Linked DNA regions of Macaca mulatta. The main gene of each other region encodes a partner of the protein of the gene in region 2 in a complex. Links are inferred from orthologs where the notes say so. Each region holds a gene or a part of one and is shown on either strand. Other genes may lie near its edges.

Region 1 (6,914 bases), on a different chromosome or scaffold from region 2:
GATTTATTGCCAAAGTTATATATTGGGGTAAATGGCATTTAGTTGGTAGAAGAGTAGAATTGTTAAAATGCCAAAATTGAAGTAGCAGAAGACTTTCTTTGTAACATGTCTGTGTTTTGATGTTTGTATCTGTGTTTTCTGGCTCGCTGTTGTGTCTTTAACATCCCTAGTGTCAGTGGGCATCTTCCTTTTCAACAGAAAACCTTTAAATAAATTTGCCATTTTCCCACTGATTCTCAGAAGGAAATGAAGCTTTTTTTTTTTTTTCATGTGGACTAAACGGTGTGATAAGCCTAAATCTGTTGGCCACAACCTCCCATACCATGCTAGCTCACACCTAAATGAGCAACAGTAGGCAGAAACTTGTTACATTTGGTGTCACTGTAGGATGGGCAAATGTTCCTGTGTTAAATGATGCTGAGAAAAATAGGTCTGGGCTGGAAGTCTCTGCAGAGGCCCTTTCGTTGTTCCCAGAAAGGCCACACACTCAGCAGACCTAAAACAGACTCTGCCAGGAACCCAGTGCTGGCTGGACAGCACCAGTGGTCTATTTCGGTAATAATCCTCCTGCTTGAGTGAACCAAAGACGGAGACACAACTTGATTTAATTTGTTGTTTCATTGAGGCTATTACAGCAAATATCCTTTAGCCAGCTACTCGAACAGAAAGAAAATATTGTTACCTTAGCGTGCTCAAGAAAATATTACTCTCAAATTGTGTTTATGGGAGTCCTGTGCTGTAGCTTAGCTCCATGTTCCCGGTGTTTTGCAGCTTAGCCTCAGCAATTATAATAAAAGCAGTGGATAGAAAGCACCCATTTACAGCCCTGGCACTGAGATAGCTCAAGTAAAAAGATCAGATTCGAACTCCTCTGACTTGTACTTACTGGTCATTTGGTTTCTTGTTTGTTGGTGCATTCATTCACTATACATTTTAAGTTTGTGGGTGAATCACTAAAAAGGGACATCTCTTCACCAACCTAAAATCTAAACATCCACCTTCTTCTTCCCTATTCCGTTGTACAAAACTGGAGAAGAAAAGAATTAAATTCTCAGGCCCGCACTTTCCTTCAGCCCCAAATCCAGTTAATTAAATAAGAAGGTATGCACTACAGCGTTTGAAAATCTCCTTTAGGATTCATTGCAACCGAATCGTATTTTTTTCTCTTTAAATAAAAGATACGTCATTTTATAGGTCATAAAACACCCTATGTATACATTAAAATATTAAGTAAGAATTAAATAGAAATAACCCTCTTTTACCTTAGTGAAGTAACAGAGTGGTATATAGAACGATTTCATATATAGTAAGTATTTTCTTATGGAAATTACATTTCTTTTAAAAAACAAGATATTCATTTTAAAGCCCTGGACCATTACTGGGCGTTGAAAGTAAAATACCAAGTTATTGGAAAATGAATTAATACTTTTAATGCTGAAATATCATAGGCAAATTCTAGAGTAAATCAGCGATTTTGGCAATGAGATATATGATTCATTAATATAGACTCTTTGTCATCACCATTGATCTTAAGGATTTGGAGGCCTGGCTGATTTTGGTAATAGTATTGAAATCCTAATAAACTTTGTACAGTCACCCCTCAGTATCTGCCGGGAATTGGTTTCAGGACACCTGCATCCCCCATCAAGGTTGTAAAAATCCATGGATGCTTAAATCCCTTGAAAATAGCATAATATTTGTGTGGAACACACACATACACACACACACACTCTCCTTCCTGTATTATTTGTTTGTTTGTTGTTTATGTATTTATTTATCTATTTGAGACAGCGTCTCACTCTGTCACCCAGGCTGGAGTGCACTGGGGCAGTCATGGCACACTGCAGTTTTAACCTCCCTGGCTCAAGCGATTCTCCCACCTCAGCTTCCTGAGTAGCTAGGACTATAGACACACACCACCACACCTGAACCATTTTTTATTTTTTGTAGAGACAAGGTCTCACTATGTTGCCCAGACTCAAATGCCTGGGCTCAAGCGATTCGCCGGCTTTGGCCTCCCAAAGTGCTGGGATTGCCACTGTAAGCTACCGCACCCACCTCCTCCTATATACTTTAAATCGTCTCTACACTGCTTATGACATCTAATACAATGCAAATGCCATGTAAATAGTTGTGATACTGTATTAGGAATAACGACAAGAAAAAAAAAATCTCTACGTATTCATCACAGCTAAAACCATTGTAGGTCTAACAAATTTTCTATCTGTGATTGGTTGAATCTAAGGATGCAGAACCCACAGATATGGAGGGCTGACTGTATGCAGAAATACTAGAATGTTTGAGAGTAATTTTTGGCAAAAATGATCTAACAAATTATTAGCATTGCTAGTCTTAATTATTTTAAGGAAGAAGAAAGTGACTTAAAGATAAATCAGAAAGTCTGTTTAAACCAAGCTGTTCTCTTTCATCCTCTAGTAGAGGAAACATCTGGTGACTTAACATGACTTCAGAATCCTTAGAGCCGGCTTCAGAGGTGGCTCTGACTTAGCCTGAGTTCTGTTCTTGGACATGGACACCTGCTTTGCAGTGTGGCACATCATACTTTTAATTTACTTAATTCCCCTTGCAAGAATACTGAGGAAAGCAGTTAATGCTGACTATTTGTAGTTAAGGATCATGGCTTGGGCTTGATTCGGAATTATCAAACAGTGATGAGTCCTTTGAAGAACTTTAGGGCTCAGTGACTATTCCCACTATTTACTTTATCCCCATGTCTTCTGTTATTTCACCTGTTCAGAGTATTTTGTTTCTTTGCCTATATTGAAAAGCTTCCATCTGATCAAGCACCACCATTCTTGTCTTGCAACTGTGTTCATCTTGGGGGTATCACTGCTTTTATCAGAAAAATAATCCATGTCTTTTTTCTCCCCTCTCTGCAGTTCCAGATTACCAGGAACAGGACATCTTCCTCTGGAGAAAAGAGACTGGATTTGGATTTAGGATTCTGGGTGGAAATGAACCAGGGGAACCTGTGAGTCTTTTGCTCGTCTCTCTCCCCGGCATATTTTTCTAAGGCTTCAAAGCAAATTGGCAACAGTGACAAATCACCAAGATTTGTCCAGCTAGATGCAACACTGACTCTTTCATCTTGAGTAGTATGGGTTTTTCATTGGATTTTGTGGAGCACTGTTTGTCTTGAGGAAGAAGAGACTAGATTCTTTCTAAAAAGTTTGTATGCGTGTTTGTGAAAAGTGGCAGCTGCAGCCTCTGTAGACCACCCCTTTCCCCCAAGGGAGACAAAAACAGAAAGCAAAACAGGATAATCATCACCTGATGTAACAGTAGCCTGGTCCTTCTGGCCAGGTCCCTTCACTCTGCCAGCAGGTACTGGGCTTTGTGTGTTGAGTTGCTGGTGTGCAGAGAGTATTTCACAAAGCCTTATGGGACAGTGATTGGAGAATGTCAGAACCCTGCCTTTACAAAACTTGAGAAAGAACCCTGAGTAAGGGTCAAGAAACGTTGAACTTCCCTGGATCTCAGTGACCTCCATTTTGGAATAAATTTAGAATAACATAACAGGGTTCTTTTGAAGGAAGAAAAGAAAACTAAAATAGGTATTGTTAATTTCCTTGTGATAATAATAGCCATTATTCATCGAGCGCTTACTATGTGCCAGGTTCTGTGCTAAAGGCTCTTAACATACATTCTCTCATTTATCCATCAAACCCACCAGTTTATCCCGTTTTCACATTGAGAAAAAGAAAAGCTAATTAACTTGCCCAAGATTACGGAGCTACCAAACGGAGGGACTGACAAATAAGGTCTGACTCGAATCCATGTTCTTAGCAACTATTTTGTCAAAGTTCTTTGCAAACTGTAAATGCCATGTAAAGGTAACTATAGCATTATTGTCTGCTGGAAAGGCAAGGTAGGCACAAGTATTTTAGCTAAGGTTTAGTGAATGGCAAATATAACAGTAAGACATTAACTATAAAGAATGCTCTGCTTTCAGGTGCTAAAAGACTTCGAAAATGGAGATGTCCAACTAATTTTTGCTTCATTCATTCATTTAAGAGTATTTATTACATATTCCCTATTCCTAGGCATGATGCTAGACTCTTAAATAAAAGTAATATTAAAATTTTATTAGCAGAGTTGTATGGAAAGAGAGTTTTTAGGTAGGTAGGAAAGAAGAATAGGTTGTACAATGAAGGGAGAAAAGTGATTTATATCTACAGCGGAGAAAAAGAAAGAGTGAGTTGTCAGTAGGCCACAGATAAACAGCTGGAAACTAAGCAAGAAATATTCTTTCCACCATTTAATAATTGTGACAATACTTAGCACAATGTCTTGTACACAGTGGGTGCTCAATAAATGTTTGTGGCATGCCTGCAGACATGAATGAATGAATTGTTCCCAGAGATGTGAAGGCCATTGATGTCACAGTAAATGTAGGAGAGAAGTGTTTCATCCATCGTTCAATTATTCAACAGATTTATATTGGTCACATTGTACCACTGGGTGCTGCTGATACCGACGGCCGCCTGAGGTCTGGAGATGAATTAATCTGTGTGGATGGGACGCCAGTAATTGGAAAATCACACCAGCTTGTGGTCCAGCTTATGCAACAAGCTGCCAAACAAGGCCACGTCAATCTCACAGTGCGGCGTAAAGTGGTTTTTGCGGGTATGTATTTCATTCATTCGTTCAGACAGTGCGTTGTCACTTGATTCACAGAAAAGGCCTCCTTCCTGTGTCTGCCTCCTTGAGCATCTATTTTAGCAAATGTTTGCAAATGTGATCAAGCTCAGAATTTCCAGATGGCTTGCTTCTCTCAAACCCTGCAAAAATTACTGTCATTCTAAAGTACTTTAATGTGCCGTTTGCATATGTTCAACAAAGTCTTCCAGAGGAAGGCTTGTTGAATATATATTACTTCCCTTCTATCTCCTTGCAAATCAGAACTTAGCCATCCTCTTCATTTGATGATAATCCTCAACAAATGAGGTCATTATGAAAGTCAGAAGAGTTGTAGCTTCATATCAAGAGAACAAAAATTGGGTTTGTGCTACAAAATAAGCTCATAAAAAAGTTACTGATTTCTTACTGTCCTATGTATTAAACCAAGATTTTTTTTTCTTTCTACAAGAAAGTTGTAGAGCCAGCCAGTTCTAGGTCAGCTTTGATTCCTTCTTCCTGCCCATAAGCTTTGAACTTTAATTCTCAAAATACTACATATCCTTTCAGGCTCAGCACAAATATAACCTTCTTCCCTCGGAAATTCCTCCTTCCTCCGACTACCTTCAGATTTTAGCATTCCCTCCTTGCCATTCTAGTGACTCATGGTTTACTTCCACATCCGAATCTGCCATTTTGAGACAGTGAATTGTGTGTCTGTCCTTTCCCTTGACCTACCAGCTTCCTGAAAGCTCACGTTGAATACACCTTGTTGTTCACCTTTGGATGCAGCTCCCACTTTGAAACCTTTGAGACAGAACCCAGAATACAGCAGAAGTGATTGTCTTCTATCAGTTGAATTACTGGAGAAATATGACCTGAAATATTATGAATTCTTGTGGCATTAATATTAGTGAAACAGATACCTGCCAGATCAAATTAATTGGTACCTTGTTTTTTTTTTTAAAAAAAAGTATAACCCATTTTAAATGGTATATGATTAATTATAGAATTAAGATGTTAAATTCCAGTGTGAGAGTCCTACCTCCTGCATCCATGGAAAACAGTGTTAATCTGCTGTAGGTTATGTCCCTAGAGCTTGTTTGTGGCCTCACAATCCTTCTTAACATAGTATTCCATGCAGCTAAAAGCAGTCAGTTAGAACTGGTTTTTGAGATGAGATGAAAACTATCTGGCTTCCCTGGCCCAAATAGAAATAGTAAGGCAATGTGATATTTTGTGTTTCAGGTTTATTTTTTTAAATATTAAATATTTTGGATTTTTAGCTCTGTGTAAAAGGCGTGTCAAAACTATGAAGAGACATTATGCAAAGCGAACTAGTCACAAAAGGAGAAATATTGATTCCCTTTATATGAGGTACCTAGGGTAGTCAAATTTATAGAGACAGAAAGCAGAATGATGGTCGGTGGGGAATGGAGGAAATGGGAAGGGGAATTAGTTTTTAATGAGTACAGAGTTTCAATTTGGGAAAACGACAAAATTCTGGAGATGGATGATGATGATGGTTGTATAAAAATGTGAATGCAGTTAATACCACTCAACTATATGCTTAAAAATGGTTTAAAATTTTGTTATGCTTATTTTTCCACAATTAAAACAATCTATGAAAAGAGAAGCTTTTGAAAATAAATACAGTCTGATCCAAAACTTGGACACAACACACATTTTGTTTTTGGCATAGTTGGTTCCACCTACTGTGTTGGCTGTTTAGGAGCGCTTTAGTAACACTAGCACGGTGACTAAATTCAGAAGGAGGCCAGTGTATCCGGTTCTGTGATCAGAGTAGATGTTGACACCTGGAAGCTAAGAAGAGAAGCATATGTGTCTCACAGGTGTTGTCATGAACCCCACATAGGACAGGTAGCCTCAACGTTACCGTCACCTTACTGTTCGTTGCCTGATGGAAAAAGCTGAGTGGAAATGTGATTGGAAAGTAATGACAATATGAACGTGCATCCAAGGTTCTATCTATGAAGCCAAAATGGTGGTCTTCGCGGATGTAGCCCTCACCTACGCTTAGGCCCATCCCTTTGTGCAGTGGGGAAATATTTCACAGCAGGTTGATCTTGCTGCAAACTTGATTCTGAGTGTGGATGTCGACATATAGCATGCTATAAAATAACGAACGCTATTTGCGAGTCCCATTTGGTGTTAAGTAGGATCAATGTTCGTAGATACTGAATGGTTAATATTTGTCAAGAGAAGCTGCTTTCAATCCGTATATCCAGGTTTTGTGAAACCAGGTGCTGTCTCCT
Region 2 (7,700 bases):
GGCAGGCAGATCATGAGGTCAGGAGGTCGAGACCATCCTGGCCAACGTGGTGAAACCCTGTCTCTAGTAAAAAATACAAAAAAGTAGCCAGCCTGGTGGCATGTGCTGAGACTCTGTCTTGGGAAAGAAAAAAAAAAAATAGGCTTTTGGACTTGGCTGCTTAGGTTCATTTTGGGCACTGTGTTTCAACTTAAGTTTATTACAATATTGATTATCCCTTGACTGAGACCTCTCATGTGGCCTTTGTTTTTTTGTTTGTTTTTTATGAGACAGGGTCTCACTCTGTCACTCAAGCTGGAGTGCAGTGGTGTGATCTTGGCTCACTGCAACCTCTGCCTCCCAGATTCAAGTAATTCTTGTGCCTCAGCCTCCCGAGTAGCTGGGATTACAGGCGCACCACACCCGGCTCATTTTTTTTTTGTATTTTTAGTAGAGACAGGGTTTCACCATGTTGGCCAGGCTGGTCTTGAACTCCTGACCTCAAATGATCCACCCACCTTGGCCTCCCGAAGTGCTGGGATTGCAGGCGTGAGCCACCACACCTGGCCTTGACTTCTATTAAAAGGAGAGGTGGAAGGCTAAGGAATGCTTACTAAGACCAGACAAAATGTCTGAGCAATACACACAGTGCAAAACTAAAGGCTTTTTTGGTCCATGTACTGGATCGGCAGTTTCCTCTCCAGCCTCATAGTCCCAAAGCCTTCACTAGTCCATCCATCTAGTATGAATTCTATTCAATCGTCACTGCCATTCTAGAATTGATGCTCACAGTTGCTTATCTTAGGAGATCTGGCCAATGTGCTCCTCCTGCACGTCTTTCCAGAGTCTTGTTCGGGACACAATCCTCGGCCCTTGCTACAAGTAGAAGCTGCAGCTGCCTTCCAACACGCCTTCTGTGTCAGCACACAGGGCTACAGAGCTGGTTCCCTTCAGAGCACTTTTCACATCAGTGGGCCCCTTCCTCTATTTTAATTTTTGTATTTTCCTCACTAGACACGACAGGGACCACACCAGAGTTAACTATTTTGGTCACCTTACATTTTCTTTTTCCTTTGTTTTTTTTTTTTTTTTTTTTTTGAGATGGAGTTTTGCTCTCATCGCCTAGGCTGGAGTATGGTGCCGCGATCTTTACTCGCTGCAACCTCCACCTCCTGGGTTCAAGCGATTCTTGTGCCTCAACCTCCTGAGTAGCTGGGACTACAGGTGCAAACCAGCAAACCCAGCTAATTTTTGTATTTTAGTAGAGATGGGGTTTTCCCATGTTGGCCAGACTGGTCTCGAACTCCTGACCTCAAGTGATCCACTCGCCTCAGCCTTCCAAAGTGCTAGGATTACAGGTATGAGCCATGGCGCCCAGCCTACCTTACATTTTCAAACCACCTCTGTACTTTAGGTCAGGCAAACAGTTTCTCCTTCCCAGGGTCTCTTCCTCGACCATTTTTGGTCTGGAGAAATCCACTCGTCCTTCAAGGCTTACCGCTCCTTAGGTGTCCCCTTGGCCTCTGGTCCCACCCTCTGCAAGGCTGCACCACCACTCCCAGCTCCCCAGCCCGTCGGATATCCACGCACACCAGTCTCAGCACCGGCTGCACCGCACTGTCGGGTATGCTTAGCCTCTCCGGCCCAGCCTGCAAGCCCTTCACAGCAGGAACCCAGGCTTTTCAACTTTCTCCTCCCTCTGAAGCTGCCACCATACCTCCTGGGGGATGACTCCCACCCCCACCAGGCTGGCCTTAGGAGACCAAAGCCACCCATAACATCCTTAAGGCTGACGCCTCCTACTGCCCCCACGACCTCCCCAGCTAGGACTTGGCTCTGACTGGGATTACAGGGGCGCACCACCACACCCAGCTCATTTCTTTGTACTTTTAGTAGAGACAGGGTATCAACATGTTGGCCAGGTCTTGAACTCCTGACCTCAAATGATCCACCCGCCTTGGCCTCCCACAGTGCTGGGATTACAGGTGTGAGCCCCCGCGCCCGGCCGTGACTTTTATTTAAAGGGAGACTTGGTCAAGGAAGGGCACCTGGCTGCGACTCCGCCAGGTCAGTGGTCACACGGGCTCCCAGGCCACGGGGTCAGTGTTCAACCCAAAACCCACTACCAACCATCTCATATCCTTTGTAAGTCCCCAGAACTCTAATCTTGGCCCAGGGTTCCCTTCTGAACCTCTCTGCCATCCAGCTCTGTGGCCCTGCCTGGACTCACCCTCTCTCGCCTGGCCCAGCTGCCTCCCTGGGCTCCCTGCCTCTTCACTCACACCCTTCTCTCAGGCCCCTGAGTTAGGGGCCACAGAGGTCTCCCTCAGACTCTGCTAGCATCAACAGTCAGAACGCCTCTGCTTAACCAGCTAAGTAGCTGAGGGCCCTGCCCTCTGACAAACATATTACATTTACCCTGTTACCACCTTCCAGACCTTCACAGCCAGTCATTGGCACTTGGCTTAGGGGGAGGGGGACTGGGTGGGGAGAGATGGCTGAGAAATAGGCCTGTTTCTCCACCTTTGAACTAGGTGCTCCTGAAGACAGAGCCGTCTCCCTTGCCAGACCCAAGGCCCCTGAAGTCTGGGCTGCCTCCCTCAGCCCAGCCTGGGTTCTGCACAGGGAGGTGTCCCTACTCACCTTTCAGCGTCGCCTTCTTCAGCACCTTCATAGCATACAGGTGCCCGCTGTCAGGCCGGGTGACTTTCCGTACCAGGAAGACCTGAGAAGGCAGAGAGGGAAGCAAGGGCAGAAGATGGGAGAGGTCTGCGCCCAGGCTGACCTCCATCTTCTCTGAGCCCCAAGCTGGTCTTTTTGTTCTCCCTGGGTACCAAGGTGACCTCTGATCCTTTGGGCCCCTAGGTGACCACTGACCCCCACCTCTAACATGACGAGGGTTGCCTTCACAGCCACGGGCTCATGACTCACTTTGCCAAACGATCCCTGGCCCAGAACCTTGAGGAGCTCGAAATGGGATGGATCAGCCTTCTCAGAGCCAGCCTTGACGTGGTGCGTGATGGAGATCTCCTTGAGGACGCCCTCATCCTGATGGAGGGACAGAGCTGGTGGGCATGGTGGGCCCCATCCGGGCAGCAGGAGTTCCCCTGCCCAAGGCCATTCCCACCAGACCTCAGCAGATGAGACCTAAAGGCCCAACAGACGACTTCCCTGAAGGGCCAGCCTCCAAGGTCATTGATTTCAAAAGGGCCTCAAAGGCTGGGGAGGTCAAACAGAAGAGGCACCACTCCTATTGCTCCCGATGCTCTGGCCTGATTAGGCCCAAAGGGATGCCCAGGCATGGCCAGGCTGAGTCAACCTCAGGCTCCGGTTGAGACCCAGAGACCTGCCCCAGGTCTGCCTGTGGGGCTTCCCTCCCCCTGCTGCTTTAGGGTTGCCACAATAGGAAGTAGGTTTGTTCTCATATGGGGAGGTAGAGCTGGGCCTTCGTTCCTGGTCAGGATGGGATGAGGGGATCCCTCTGGTCAGTAGGACAGGGCTGACGTGCACAAAGACCCAAGAGTCACCCAAACTCCCCCATCAACTTGGTAAGTGCTGGCCTGGGGCAGGTCAGAATTAAGGCCAGAGACTGCATGGCTCATCTTCCCAAACTTCCTTCATACAAACCTACTAGAAGCCCCTTGCCACGTCCTAGCCATTCCAGGACTCTACCCTCCCTCTAATCTGCTGCCATTGCCTTGAAGCCCTGAAGTACCTCCTCACTTACCCAGGAAGCAAGTCTGGGCAGGGTCCAGTCACCCCGCAGGGCCAGGCCTGGGCCAGGACAGCCCAAAGCCAGATTACGCTAAGCTGGCTTCCCAGGCACCTGCTGCGAGGGACACAGCCAGGCCAGGACCAGACATCTGGGTACACTCACCGAGTCCCGCTGGGGGCCAGAGCCAGGGCCAGGGACAGGCAGAGAGGTCTGGCTGATCCTGGGCCGCTGCTTCCTGGGCAGCCAGGGGAGCAGGGCCCAGAGCCGCAGACGGGGCGGCTTGGGATCCTGCTCCATCCGCCCAGCAGGGCCACGGCACCATGGCAGGAGCAGGCAGAGTCCGGGGCTGCCGCGGTGGTGGCCGGGACCAAGGCGGATGTGCAGGGTGAGGGCGGGGGCTGGGCCCGGCCCAAGGGAGCCAATCACTCAGGGCCTGTGGTTTCCCAGCACCAGGCCTACACCCTCACCACGTTCCCTTCCTCTCTCTCCCCCACTCCTCAGTGCCCGAGGGCTGCCCTCTGGCCATTCCCCCATCCTCCCTGTGGGTCTGCAAAGGGAAAGCCCTCTGCCAGTGCAGCTGCTGAGCAGACAGGTACCCAACAGCAGCGAGGTACCCAACAGCAAACAGGTAACCAACAGGCAAAGACAGGTGCCTCATATGTGGAGGCAGATGAAGAGAGACACTCAACAGGCAGAAGCAGGCACCCAACAGGTGGAAACAGATGAGAATGGCATCCATCATGTCTGTAATCCTAGCACTCTGGGAGGCCGAGGCAGGCGGATCATGAGGTCAGGAGATCGAGACCATCCTGGCTAACACAATGAAACCCCGTCTCTACTAAAAATACAAAAAATTAGCTGGGTGTGGTGGCGGGCGCCTGTAGTCCCAGCTACTCGGGAGGCTGAGGCAGGAGAATGGTGTGAACTCGGGAGGTGGAGCTTGCAGTGAGCCGAGATCATGCCACTGCACTCCAGCCTGGGCAACAGAGCGAGACTCTGTCTCAAAAAAAAAAAAGAAGAATGGCATCCAACAGGCAGGAGCAGGAGAGAACACATACCCAACAGGCAGGGATGGATAAGGACACGCACCCAACAGGCAGAGGCAGGAGGAATTCATATCCAATAGAAAACAGATGGAGATGTGTACCCAATAAGGGGAAGCAGGAGGGGACTCATATCTAACAGACAGAGGTGGACAGAGACTCATCCCCAATGTGTGTAGGCAGATAAGGATACAAACCCAACAGGCAGAGACAGATGGGGCACAAGCCCAACAGGCAGAGACAGAAGGGGACATGTACCTAATAGGTAAAGACAGATGAGGACATGAACCCAACAGGCAAAGGCAGAAGGAACACATCTCCAATAGGCAGGGACAGAAGAGAATTCCAACCCAACAGGCAATGACAGAAGGGGACATAAACCCAACAGGCAGGCTGGGCACGGTGGCTCACGCCTGTAATCCCAGCACTTTGGGAGGCCAAGGCAGGTGGATCACGAGGTCAGGAGATCGAGATCATCCTGGCCTACATGGTGAAACCCTGTCTCTACTAAAAATACAAAAATTAGCTAGGCGTGGTGGCAGGCGCCTATAGTCTCAGCTACTTGGGAGGATGAGGCTGGAGAATGGCGTGAACCCGGGAGGCAGAGGTTGCAGTGAGCCAAGATCGCGTCAGGGCACTCCAGCCTGGGCAACAGAGCGAGACTGCCTTGGGAAAAAAAAAAAACAAACCTCAACAGGCAATGACAGAGGGGGACATGTATCCAACAGGCAGAGACAGATGGTGACTCGAACCCAACAGGCAATGACAGAAGGGGACATAAACCCAACAGGCAGAGACAGAAGGGGACAGGTATCCAATAGGCAGAGACAGAAGGGGACATGTATCCAATAGGCAGAGACAGATGAAGACATAAACCCAACAGGCAGAGACAGAAGGGGACATGAACAACAGGCACCTAACATGTGACATGTGCCCAACAGGTGAAGTCAGGCACTTATCAAGTGGCGAGAGAGATTGGAACCCAACCACAGACACAGGAAGGCAGCAAAGAGAGACAGCAGGAGAGGCAACGAGCCCCAAGCAGACTGACAATACCTAGGGCAGATAGGTCTGACACCTGGCAGATACACAGGCAGGCAGCAGGGCAGGGATCCCCAGGAAGGGGTTAAGGGCGGAACTGTGGGTTCTTGCTGCTGTACCTGGGGTGGGGAAAGAGATGAGGGGATACAATCTGCAAACTCTCACCATTCAGGAGAGGACTCTGGTATTTCTTACAGACCCACCTCTGAGGTTTTCCATTTCCCTAGGATTTTCCTCCTATGCCAGGACCTGAGGAGGGCCCAGATAGTGGCTGAGAGGACTATCTCCTGAGTGCAATCTGATGTCTTTGACTCTGATCATATCCTAAAAACTGGTATCCTCATTCCAGGAACAGGGAACTGAGGCTCAGAAGACAGTGACTCACCGAGGCTCAAAGCAAACAGTGGCAGAGCTAGCTTGGACCCAGGTGCCTCCCTGCTTACTGCCTGGCCTGGGGTCAGCAGGCATCAAATGCCAGGAAAGGGTGGACAGGTAAATCAGCCAGAGCCACGTCCTGCCCACCCGTCTACCCAAACCCCCTTCTCCTTCAGTACTAGAGTCCACCTGGGACCTCCCACTATAGGTCCTGTCCCTCGGAGACACAATCTTGTCTTCAGGGGAAGATACCTAACCCTCCCTGACAGATGGAGGAGTGGGTGGAACAGCCCCACAAAAACACCAGAGAGCCGCAGTCAAATCAGACCCGAGTGTAACCTCCTGGCAGGACAGGCAAAAAGCCTGGCTCAAAGAGGGACTGAGGGGGGGCCAAGGACACACAGCAATACCTGCACACCCCACCCTGAGATCTGAGCCTCTACCTCATCTGTCTGCCTCTGACTGAGAGCACTCCCTGGGGACAGAAGCAGGAAATCACCCAGAAACCCCAGGGGACAGAGCCACCCCCAAACCCATTCCTTGCCCAGTCACGGTGACAGACACTGCTGGAGGCAGGCGACTCTTCTGCTCACCTTTCTGGGACAGGGAACCAAGTCTCTCTCAACTCTGGGGAAATCTGCCGGGGTCTGCATGGTGGGGCTCAGGCCGGTGGCCAGAAGGCCCCGTTACTCTTCTTACTTCTGCTTTTTTTTAGCCTTCCTGGCCCAGAAGGCAGGGTCTCTGGCCCCCCTCCTTTTCACTTCCCCCTCTGCAGGGAGGAGGGGCAGAAGATGGGTCAGGCTCCTCTGCAGAAGAGGGGACACTGCAGACCCCAAGCCCATGACCCCAGGGAAGGCCCAGGGGCACACTTCTCCCTATGTCCTCTGACTCTAAGGAGGACAGACAAGAGCAGAGACAGAAGTCACAAGGCGATAAGGCGGTGACACAGTGGGCATATCAGCACCCGCAAACATCCACGTGAGGGGGGGACCTGAAAGAATGTGGGGCAAAAGTCAGCAAAGGCCACTGTCTGACTGTCCAGCCCAGAGCTTAGATACTGTGTCCCACCCCCCATAGCACCCTTCCCATGGCTAGGCCCACCCACAATGGCAGCCCAGAAAGCAGGCACCAGTGGCCCCGGTCCTGCCCTGCTCAGCTGCCCCGAAGATGGTTGCCAGTCCCAAGCCCCAGGATGGGTAAGGTGGGCAGAAAGCCCAACCAAGGACCTCACAGAGGTCTGAGAGGAGGAGCAGGCAGCTATGGGGCAGGGGTTGGCCAGGCCCAGCCCCTTTCTACGTGGTCTCACTTCATCACTCACACCAGTACAGCACAGGAACACACACACACACACACACACACACACACACACACACACTCAGGCCAGTGATCGGAAACGCTGTCCACAGACAACCCCTATGCAGAAACACACGCCCCCACGCACACACAGACTTCCCTTCCCTGTCCTTGCAGAGTCTGCGGGTGGATGGCTGCTGGGAGATTGCGAAAGATGCCTCCCTCAGCCAAGCCTCTCATTGCTCTCCACCTTC
Region 3 (6,914 bases), on a different chromosome or scaffold from region 2:
CTGACACATGAGATTCAATCAGTAATTTTTACTGAGCAAGTGAACTGGGGATTATGTAGGTATCTGTATGGCCTAAGTTCAGTTGGTCATGCCACTCCTCAATGCTGTGGTAACTCTTTTATTGCAGCAGTGCTTTGGCTTATAGATAAACCCAGTTCTGTAAATATTCTGGCTGAACAAAGTGCTTCAGGTCAGTCCAGGAGTTCTCATGTTAAATAGTTTGGTTCATTTACAACAGAAGTAGCGACAGGTTAAAAATGTACCTATATAATATGACTTCGATGGGGTGTGTAGTAGAGGCCCTTGTTTGTTTATGGTAAATCTCAGTAAAATTTCTTCTACTCTTCCTTTTCTTATGCAGTTAACTTTGAATAACCAGTAGCAAAGTCCTTTCTCTTGCTAACTACTATATTGCATTCAGCTGCTTAACATTTGTTTCCTGTTCCCAAGATCACCAGAGGCACCTGTAGTGTTTGATGAGGATGTTGGATTTCATAGAAAGATTTTCTCTACATAGTTTGTTCTAGCTTGGGAGAGCTGGGTTGGCCTTGGCCCACTTGTTCAAAGCTGTCACAGTTTTTAAGTCGTTTAAAAACCTTCAATAATCTTGTTCCATCTACTTTTCCACTTTATCTCAAATTTCTGTACCTTCTCCAATACTTCTCACCTCTATGATACAAATTGAGGGTGCTGTGCTCCAAGAAAATCATTTAGTAAGTTAAGCTACTATTTTTAATACCCAGCCCTTCAAGGAAGTTAAAATAGCATCTTCCAGAAGTAGCACTTTCTTATTTAATTTATTTAGAGAAACAGGGTCTTGCTGTGTTGCCCAGCCAGGTCACAAACTCCAGAAGTAGCACTTTCTATGATGTATCTTTTTATTTTATTATTTTAGAGAATAAATTCTTTTTATTCTGTAGCTGCAGAGATTTTATGCACAACGTATGCTTTTTATTTATTTTATTTTATTTTTGAGATGAGGTCTCACTCTGTCACCCTGGCCGGAGTGCAGTGACACAGTCTTGGCTCACTGCAATCTCTGCCTCCCAGGCTCAAGCAGTCCTCCCACCTCAGCCTCCTAAGGTTGGTCATGTGCCACCACGCCTGTCTAATTTTTTGTATTTTTGGTAGAGATGGGGTTTCACCACGTTGCCCAGGCTGGTCTCAAATTCCTGAGCTCAAGTGATCCACCCACCTTGGCCTTCCAAAGTGCTGGGATTATAGGTGTGAGCCACCGTGCCTGGCTAAGGTATGCTTTTTAAATTAAATGTTTCCTGTTGAGTCTTTGTTTGGTCATGTTTTTCTTTAAATCACAAATTGATTTGCTAGTGCTTATGTTAATACTGTGAGCTTCAGGTGTAAGCTTTTCTCCCACCAATGGGAAGAACTTTCAGAAAGCCCACATATGTCTCTTTTTATTTTTGTTTTTGAGACGGAATCTTGCTCTGTTGCCCAGGCTGGAGTGCAGTGGTGCGATCTCTGCTCACTGCAAGCTCCGCCTCCCAGGTTCATGCCATTCTCCTGCCTCAGCCTCCCGAGTGTCTGGGACTACAGGCACCTGCCACCATGCCCAGCTAATTTTTTGTATTTTTAGTAGAGACAGGGTTTCACCGTGTTAGCCAGGATGGTCTCGTTGCGATCCGCTTTCCTCAGCTGGGATTACAGACGTGAGCCACCGCCCCGCCCCCTCCCCGCCCCGCATATGTCTCTTTAAGTATCTTTTCTATTGTGACCAGTGTAGGCTGGTGATTATGGTTATTCCTTCCAATTGCACCACCAGATTTTTGGTTCTTGTTTCCAAACTATCTCCTTTCTCTTACACTATGGCCCTGAATTCTACCAGTAGCTGACATTAAGAACCCTAGGGAAGTTCCTTTTTCCTTTTTTTTTTTTAAGCATAGGTAAAATCCCTTCATAACAATGGTTTCTGTACAGTGAAATCCTTTCTAGCACTTAGTTGTTGGTCCATGGAAATAGCACTTTGATACTCAGTTTTCTTTCCTTCTCTTTTTTCTTTTTAAAAATATTTTATTTTACTGTGGTAGGAACACTTAACGTGAGATCTACTCTGAACAGATTTTTCAGTGTACAATATAGTATTATCTATAGGCCAGTGTTGTACAGCAGATCTCTAGAACTTGATTCATCTTGCATAACTAAAATTATATGTGTTTAAAATAGTCAAACTCATAAAAACAAATATTAGAATGGTGGTTTCCAAGGACTTAGGGAAGAAGAACTGGGGAGTTGCTAATCAATGAGTAGTCAGTTTTTTCTACAGTGAATAAAACTTGTCAATTACTATACCCAAATATAGATTGAGTAGCCCAAATCCAAAAATCTGAAGTCTGAAATGCTTCCAACTCCAAAACTTTTTTTTTTTTTTTTGAGATGGAGTCTTGCTCTATCACCCATGCTGGAGTGCAGTGGCGCGATCTCGGCTCACTGCACCAACTCCAAAACTTTCTAAGGGCCAACATGATGTTCAAAGCAAATGCTCATTGAAGCATTTCAGATTTCAGATTTTTGGATTAGGGATGTTCACCTGGTAAGTTTAATTCAAATGTTCCAAAATCCCCCAGATTCAAAATTCAAAACACATTTGGTCCTAAGCATTTTGGATAAGGGATACTCAACCTATATATGGTTGTACTTGAAGTAGCAAAGGAAGGGAAGGTAAATTTGGTGATTTAGTCCTACCATGAAACAGCAGTTACCTTTCTGGTTCTGAGGTTTCTCTGCCAATACCTACACCACTGCCTCCACCAACCAAAATAGAAAGAAAAAAAAAAATGAAACTCTCAAGAGATTTTTCCAAAGCACTATCATACATAAATTCTCCAGAAGCTTGGGAGAAGGAAAGTGTGGAAGGGAAGGTATGGTTAGGAATCTCTCACACTAAATTAGGAACAGTTCATTTGATAATTGGTAAAAATGCATAGCTTCTTCTCATGAACACAACTAACCCTGCTGTGGTAATATCAGGAATGTCAGGAATTGGGTCCTTTGAATACCATCAACAGGATCAAAATTAAATGTGAGTAGAAGAATTTACATGTAGGCTGGGCATGGTGGCTCACACCTGTAATCCTAGAACTTTGGGAGGCCAAGGCAGTAGTGATTGCTTGAGGCCAGGAGTTCATAACCAGCCTGGGAAACTGAGTTATGAACTCCTGAGTAGCTGGGATTACAGGCGCCCGCCACTATGCCCCCTAGCAAGACTGTCTCAAAAAAAAAAAAGAAAAAGAAAAAAAAGAAAGAACTTAGAGTAATCACCATTACTCTTTAAGTTCTATATATATCTTTCTTTATATATTCAACAAAACAGGTGAATCACTGTGTTTATATTTTCAGTTGTGCCTCATTTGAGTGAGCAACTCAATACTCTTGATACTGCTGACCTTGTTCATGACCATTCACCAGCTCCATCACAGCCTGACTCGCCAGCGTCTCCTCTCCATCAGCCTTTCCTGCCCAGTAGGCTTTTCCTCCCTTTCTCTTCATCTTCTCTAATCCCTTTCTTTCTTCTTCACCCCCATCTTTTTACTCCTCCATGATTTTCTCAGGGCTGGGCTTCAACATCGTCGGTGGGACAGATCAGCAGTATGTCTCCAACGACAGTGGCATCTACGTCAGCCGCATCAAAGAAAATGGGGCTGCGGCCCTGGATGGGCGGCTCCAGGAGGGTGATAAGATACTTTCGGTGAGAATGGGCTTCGGCCTCCTTCACTGTCCTTTGCTCCCTAAGCCCTAGGTCCTACCCCTATCCCTTTCCTTGGAAAGATTTGGGTCTGGAAATATACAGATTATAGAGCTGAATGGGAGCAACTCTGATCAGTCATTCTTTCCAACCCTATCATTGAGCATGGAGGGCAATATTATGCTCACCTGATAAATGAGAATGTGAAGCCCAGAATGTGAAGTTACTTGTTCAAAAAGCACGAGGCAGGAAGCAGCGAGGGACTCATACGGGGAAAAGAGATATAAAATCCACAAATTTTGTCTTTCATCCATCATTGCCTCCTTTTGTTGATTAAAACACTAATGTGTATCTTCCTTTGGGGGAATGTCAGCCCTTATAATTGGATTTAACTTCAAAAAACAGAAAGAAGGAAGGTTGGAATTAAGTGTCCTTTTCAGACTCAGAGCCCTTTTTCACCCATTATTAACATGAAAATTTGGAATGCAGTTGATTTGGGTATCTGTCCACTGTGTTCCCATTTCATCCTGCTAATGTCTCTACCAAGACTTACTACATGGAAATTATTAATCTTATTCTTTTCTAGAATTTCCTCAAGGGGAGTGACAAGATCCTTTTTTTTTTTTTTTTTTTTGAGATGGAGTCTCGCTCTGTCACCCAGGCTGGAGTGCAGTGTCATGATCTTGGCTCACTGCAACCTTTGCCTCCCGGGTTCAAGTGATTCTCCTGCCTCAGCCTCCTGAGTAGCTGGGACTACAGGTGCCTGCCACTATGCCCAGTTAATTTTTTGTATTTTTAATAGAGATGGGGTTTCACCATGTTGGCCAGGCTGGTCTCGAACTCCTGACCTCATGATTCGCCCTCCTCGGCCTCCCAAAGTGCTGGGATTAGAGGCGTGAGCCACCGGGCCTGGCCTAAGATCTTTTTTTTAACATGTTGAATCATAGCGCAATGTTTAATAATGTTTAAGAAATGAACAAGTTAAGAAATTCAGGCAAACCTAAAAAGACTAGCTGATAAATACGGGCCCACAGACCTCAGGTCTTAAAATAAATTAGAACAAGCCTACAGTAAAAACTATTAAAATGCAAAATATAACTCTGGCCCTATTGTTCATTTCTCCACATTACCATAGGTCACAGTAATCCTATGATACTATCAGTTGCTGGGGGATAAGGAGGTGTAGATTGGAGATAATTATTCTGTAGAATTTCTTTTTTTATTAACTTTCAGGACTAGTGAAAAATGGCCAACTTATTACTCGTATGGAAACAGTACAGATGGTTGGTATAAAGAATGGAAAAATGCTGAGGGTGTGAGATATTATCTAGAATATTCTTGGGAGAGCTGGCTTCAAAGGGCTAGACTTAAATAAAAGGAAATTGAAATAGGATAGGGCTTCTCATAGGAGAAGCTCCTAAGCAGAAGCTCCTGTCTTCTCCAGATGGGCCATAAGCCCACGGTCTGAAGAGGAGAAAACTATTCCCTGTTTTCTTTTAGAACTGAATAGGGCAGGATGGCCAGGTTGGGAAAAGATTGAAATAAATGAATGAAGTATAGACAGGAGAAGTCTTGATTGACAGAATTAAGTATTAGTCTCAGAGACATGATTTTGAACCTACCTCTATAATAAGTTAGCTTCATCCCTTAAATTTTTTTTGCTATATAGTTTCATTTGAATTTCACTTCACTTTTCATGCAGTTCAGGTGATTAGTGATTACAGGTCATACGTGTGAAATCTCTTGCTCTTCTTAGTTGCCAGCTTACTGAACACTTCTCTGCCATGCAGCCCATTTGGTAGTAGTACCTGAAGGCAGAGATACAAAGGAAAAGAGAAAGAACATCCATCTTCTCTTCATTTGGCATCTGAGTATTTGAGTGATCAGGCTCAGCAGTATGGATCTGAATGCCTCTTCAGGAAGACCGTGACTCCACTTAGTCCCCAAAAAAGAAAGAAAATCAGAACAAGTAGCTATTAGAGCCACCTAAATTAGCTCAAGAATGTCTAAGCATGTGTCCTCGCTGATCTATAATATAAATATAGTATCAAGCACCACAGTATTTCAGTCCTTCTCATTGACTGTTTTGCCTCTCTTCCATCCGTTAAGCTTCTCCTAGACCCTATTTATTAATCTGTGAGATGGAGACAGTGATAATATACTGTCTTCTCAAAAGGATAGTGAAAAGTTTAGAAGCAGATTATTTCCTTTAGCTCCCAGGGAAAGACATTCATCCAATATGAATCAACTTGGCAGTGGTACTGTAAGGAAATGCTGAGAGTGGGTTGTTAAAATAAAGGTGTAGCATGTAGTTAGAATCTATGCAGCTTAATATTTTGACACATAAATTACATTATCCTCAGAACACTGGAATCTGGGCTCTGTGGATGAAGAATAGGAGTTAAGAAGAGAAAGAAGAGAGCTATATTATTTTAAAAGCTTTGGTTAAAGGTAGATTATTGCAAAATGAGAATGGTGAGAACTATTTGAGCACTAAATGTCAGGTAACATGCTGAGAACTTGAAATTTATTTTGTTTAATATTATAGTAACCCTATGAGGTGGGCATGATTATTGTGCCCAAGCCATTTGCCCAAAGTCACACAACTAGTAAGCAGCAAGGGACTCAAAGTTTGTTTGAGTCTGAATTTGTAGCCTTTGTTTTTAACCACTATGTTATACTGCCTCCTAAAAGGTAAATGAGGAGCTAAGGTTAGTTATCCTAAAGACAAAGTTACATGGTGAATTAACAGTAGATTGCATGGATGGTTTTATATAAAAACTGAAATTAGGCCAGGTACGGTGGCTCATGCCTGTAATCCCAGCACTTTGGGAGGCCAACGGGGGTGGATCACTTGAGGCCAGGAGTTCGAGACCTGCCTGGCCAACATGGCAAAACCCCGTCTCTACTAAAAATATATATAAATACGAAAAATTAGCTGGGCATGGTGGCATATGCCTTGGTGCATGCGCCTGTAGTCCCCCAGCTACTCAGGAGGCTGAGGCACGAGAATTGCTTGAACCTGGGAGGCGGAGGTTGCAGTGAGCTGAGATCATGCCAGTGCACTCCAACCTGGGCGACAGAGTGAGACTGTATCTCAAAATAAATAAAATAAAATAAAATAAAATAAAATAAAATAAAAACTGAAATTCATCTTTCTATAAATGGTAGAATCAGAAATAAGGAAATAAACCTCAATGTAAAAAAAAATTAT

Evidence for each region.
Region 1: the proteins of RPS6KA1 (region 2) and MAGI1 are in contact, whole or in part, in a crystal structure (PDB 5N7F), measured with the Homo sapiens proteins. The link is inferred for Macaca mulatta from reciprocal best matches to the Homo sapiens genes RPS6KA1 and MAGI1. Residues at the interface, in NP_002944.2 of Homo sapiens: Pro731, Ser732, Thr733, Thr734, Leu735; in NP_001028229.1 of Homo sapiens: Arg480, Gly481, Phe482, Gly483, Phe484, Thr485, Val486, Val487, Gly488, Asp490, Lys499, Ser500, His532, Val536, Phe539, Gln540.
Region 3: the proteins of RPS6KA1 (region 2) and SYNJ2BP are in contact, whole or in part, in a crystal structure (PDB 7P74), measured with the Homo sapiens proteins. The link is inferred for Macaca mulatta from reciprocal best matches to the Homo sapiens genes RPS6KA1 and SYNJ2BP. Residues at the interface, in NP_002944.2 of Homo sapiens: Pro731, Ser732, Thr733, Thr734, Leu735; in NP_060843.2 of Homo sapiens: Arg18, Gly22, Leu23, Gly24, Phe25, Asn26, Ile27, Val28, Gln33, Ser45, Arg46, His78, Val82, Phe85, Arg86.

The regions. Positions count from the first base shown.
Region 1 is NC_133407.1:128,930,956-128,937,869, reverse strand, and holds part of MAGI1 (membrane-associated guanylate kinase, WW and PDZ domain-containing protein 1), read left to right. Parts: intron 1-2,900; coding exon 2,901-2,992; intron 2,993-4,454; coding exon 4,455-4,647; intron 4,648-6,914. UniProt on the Homo sapiens protein: Plays a role in coupling actin fibers to cell junctions in endothelial cells, via its interaction with AMOTL2 and CDH5. May regulate acid-induced ASIC3 currents by modulating its expression at the cell surface.
Region 2 is NC_133406.1:214,439,897-214,447,596, forward strand, and holds the start of RPS6KA1 (ribosomal protein S6 kinase alpha-1), read right to left. Parts: upstream 5,059-7,700; 5' UTR 3,992-5,058; coding exon 3,857-3,991; intron 3,028-3,856; coding exon 2,911-3,027; intron 2,705-2,910; coding exon 2,623-2,704; intron 1-2,622. UniProt on the Homo sapiens protein: Serine/threonine-protein kinase that acts downstream of ERK (MAPK1/ERK2 and MAPK3/ERK1) signaling and mediates mitogenic and stress-induced activation of the transcription factors CREB1, ETV1/ER81 and NR4A1/NUR77, regulates translation through RPS6 and EIF4B phosphorylation, and mediates cellular proliferation, survival, and differentiation by modulating mTOR signaling and repressing pro-apoptotic function of BAD and DAPK1.
Region 3 is NC_133412.1:143,542,505-143,549,418, reverse strand, and holds part of SYNJ2BP (synaptojanin-2-binding protein), read left to right. Parts: intron 1-2,351; exon of another isoform or gene 2,352-2,898; intron 2,899-3,080; exon of another isoform or gene 3,081-3,271; intron 3,272-3,566; coding exon 3,567-3,703; intron 3,704-6,914. UniProt on the Homo sapiens protein: Regulates endocytosis of activin type 2 receptor kinases through the Ral/RALBP1-dependent pathway and may be involved in suppression of activin-induced signal transduction.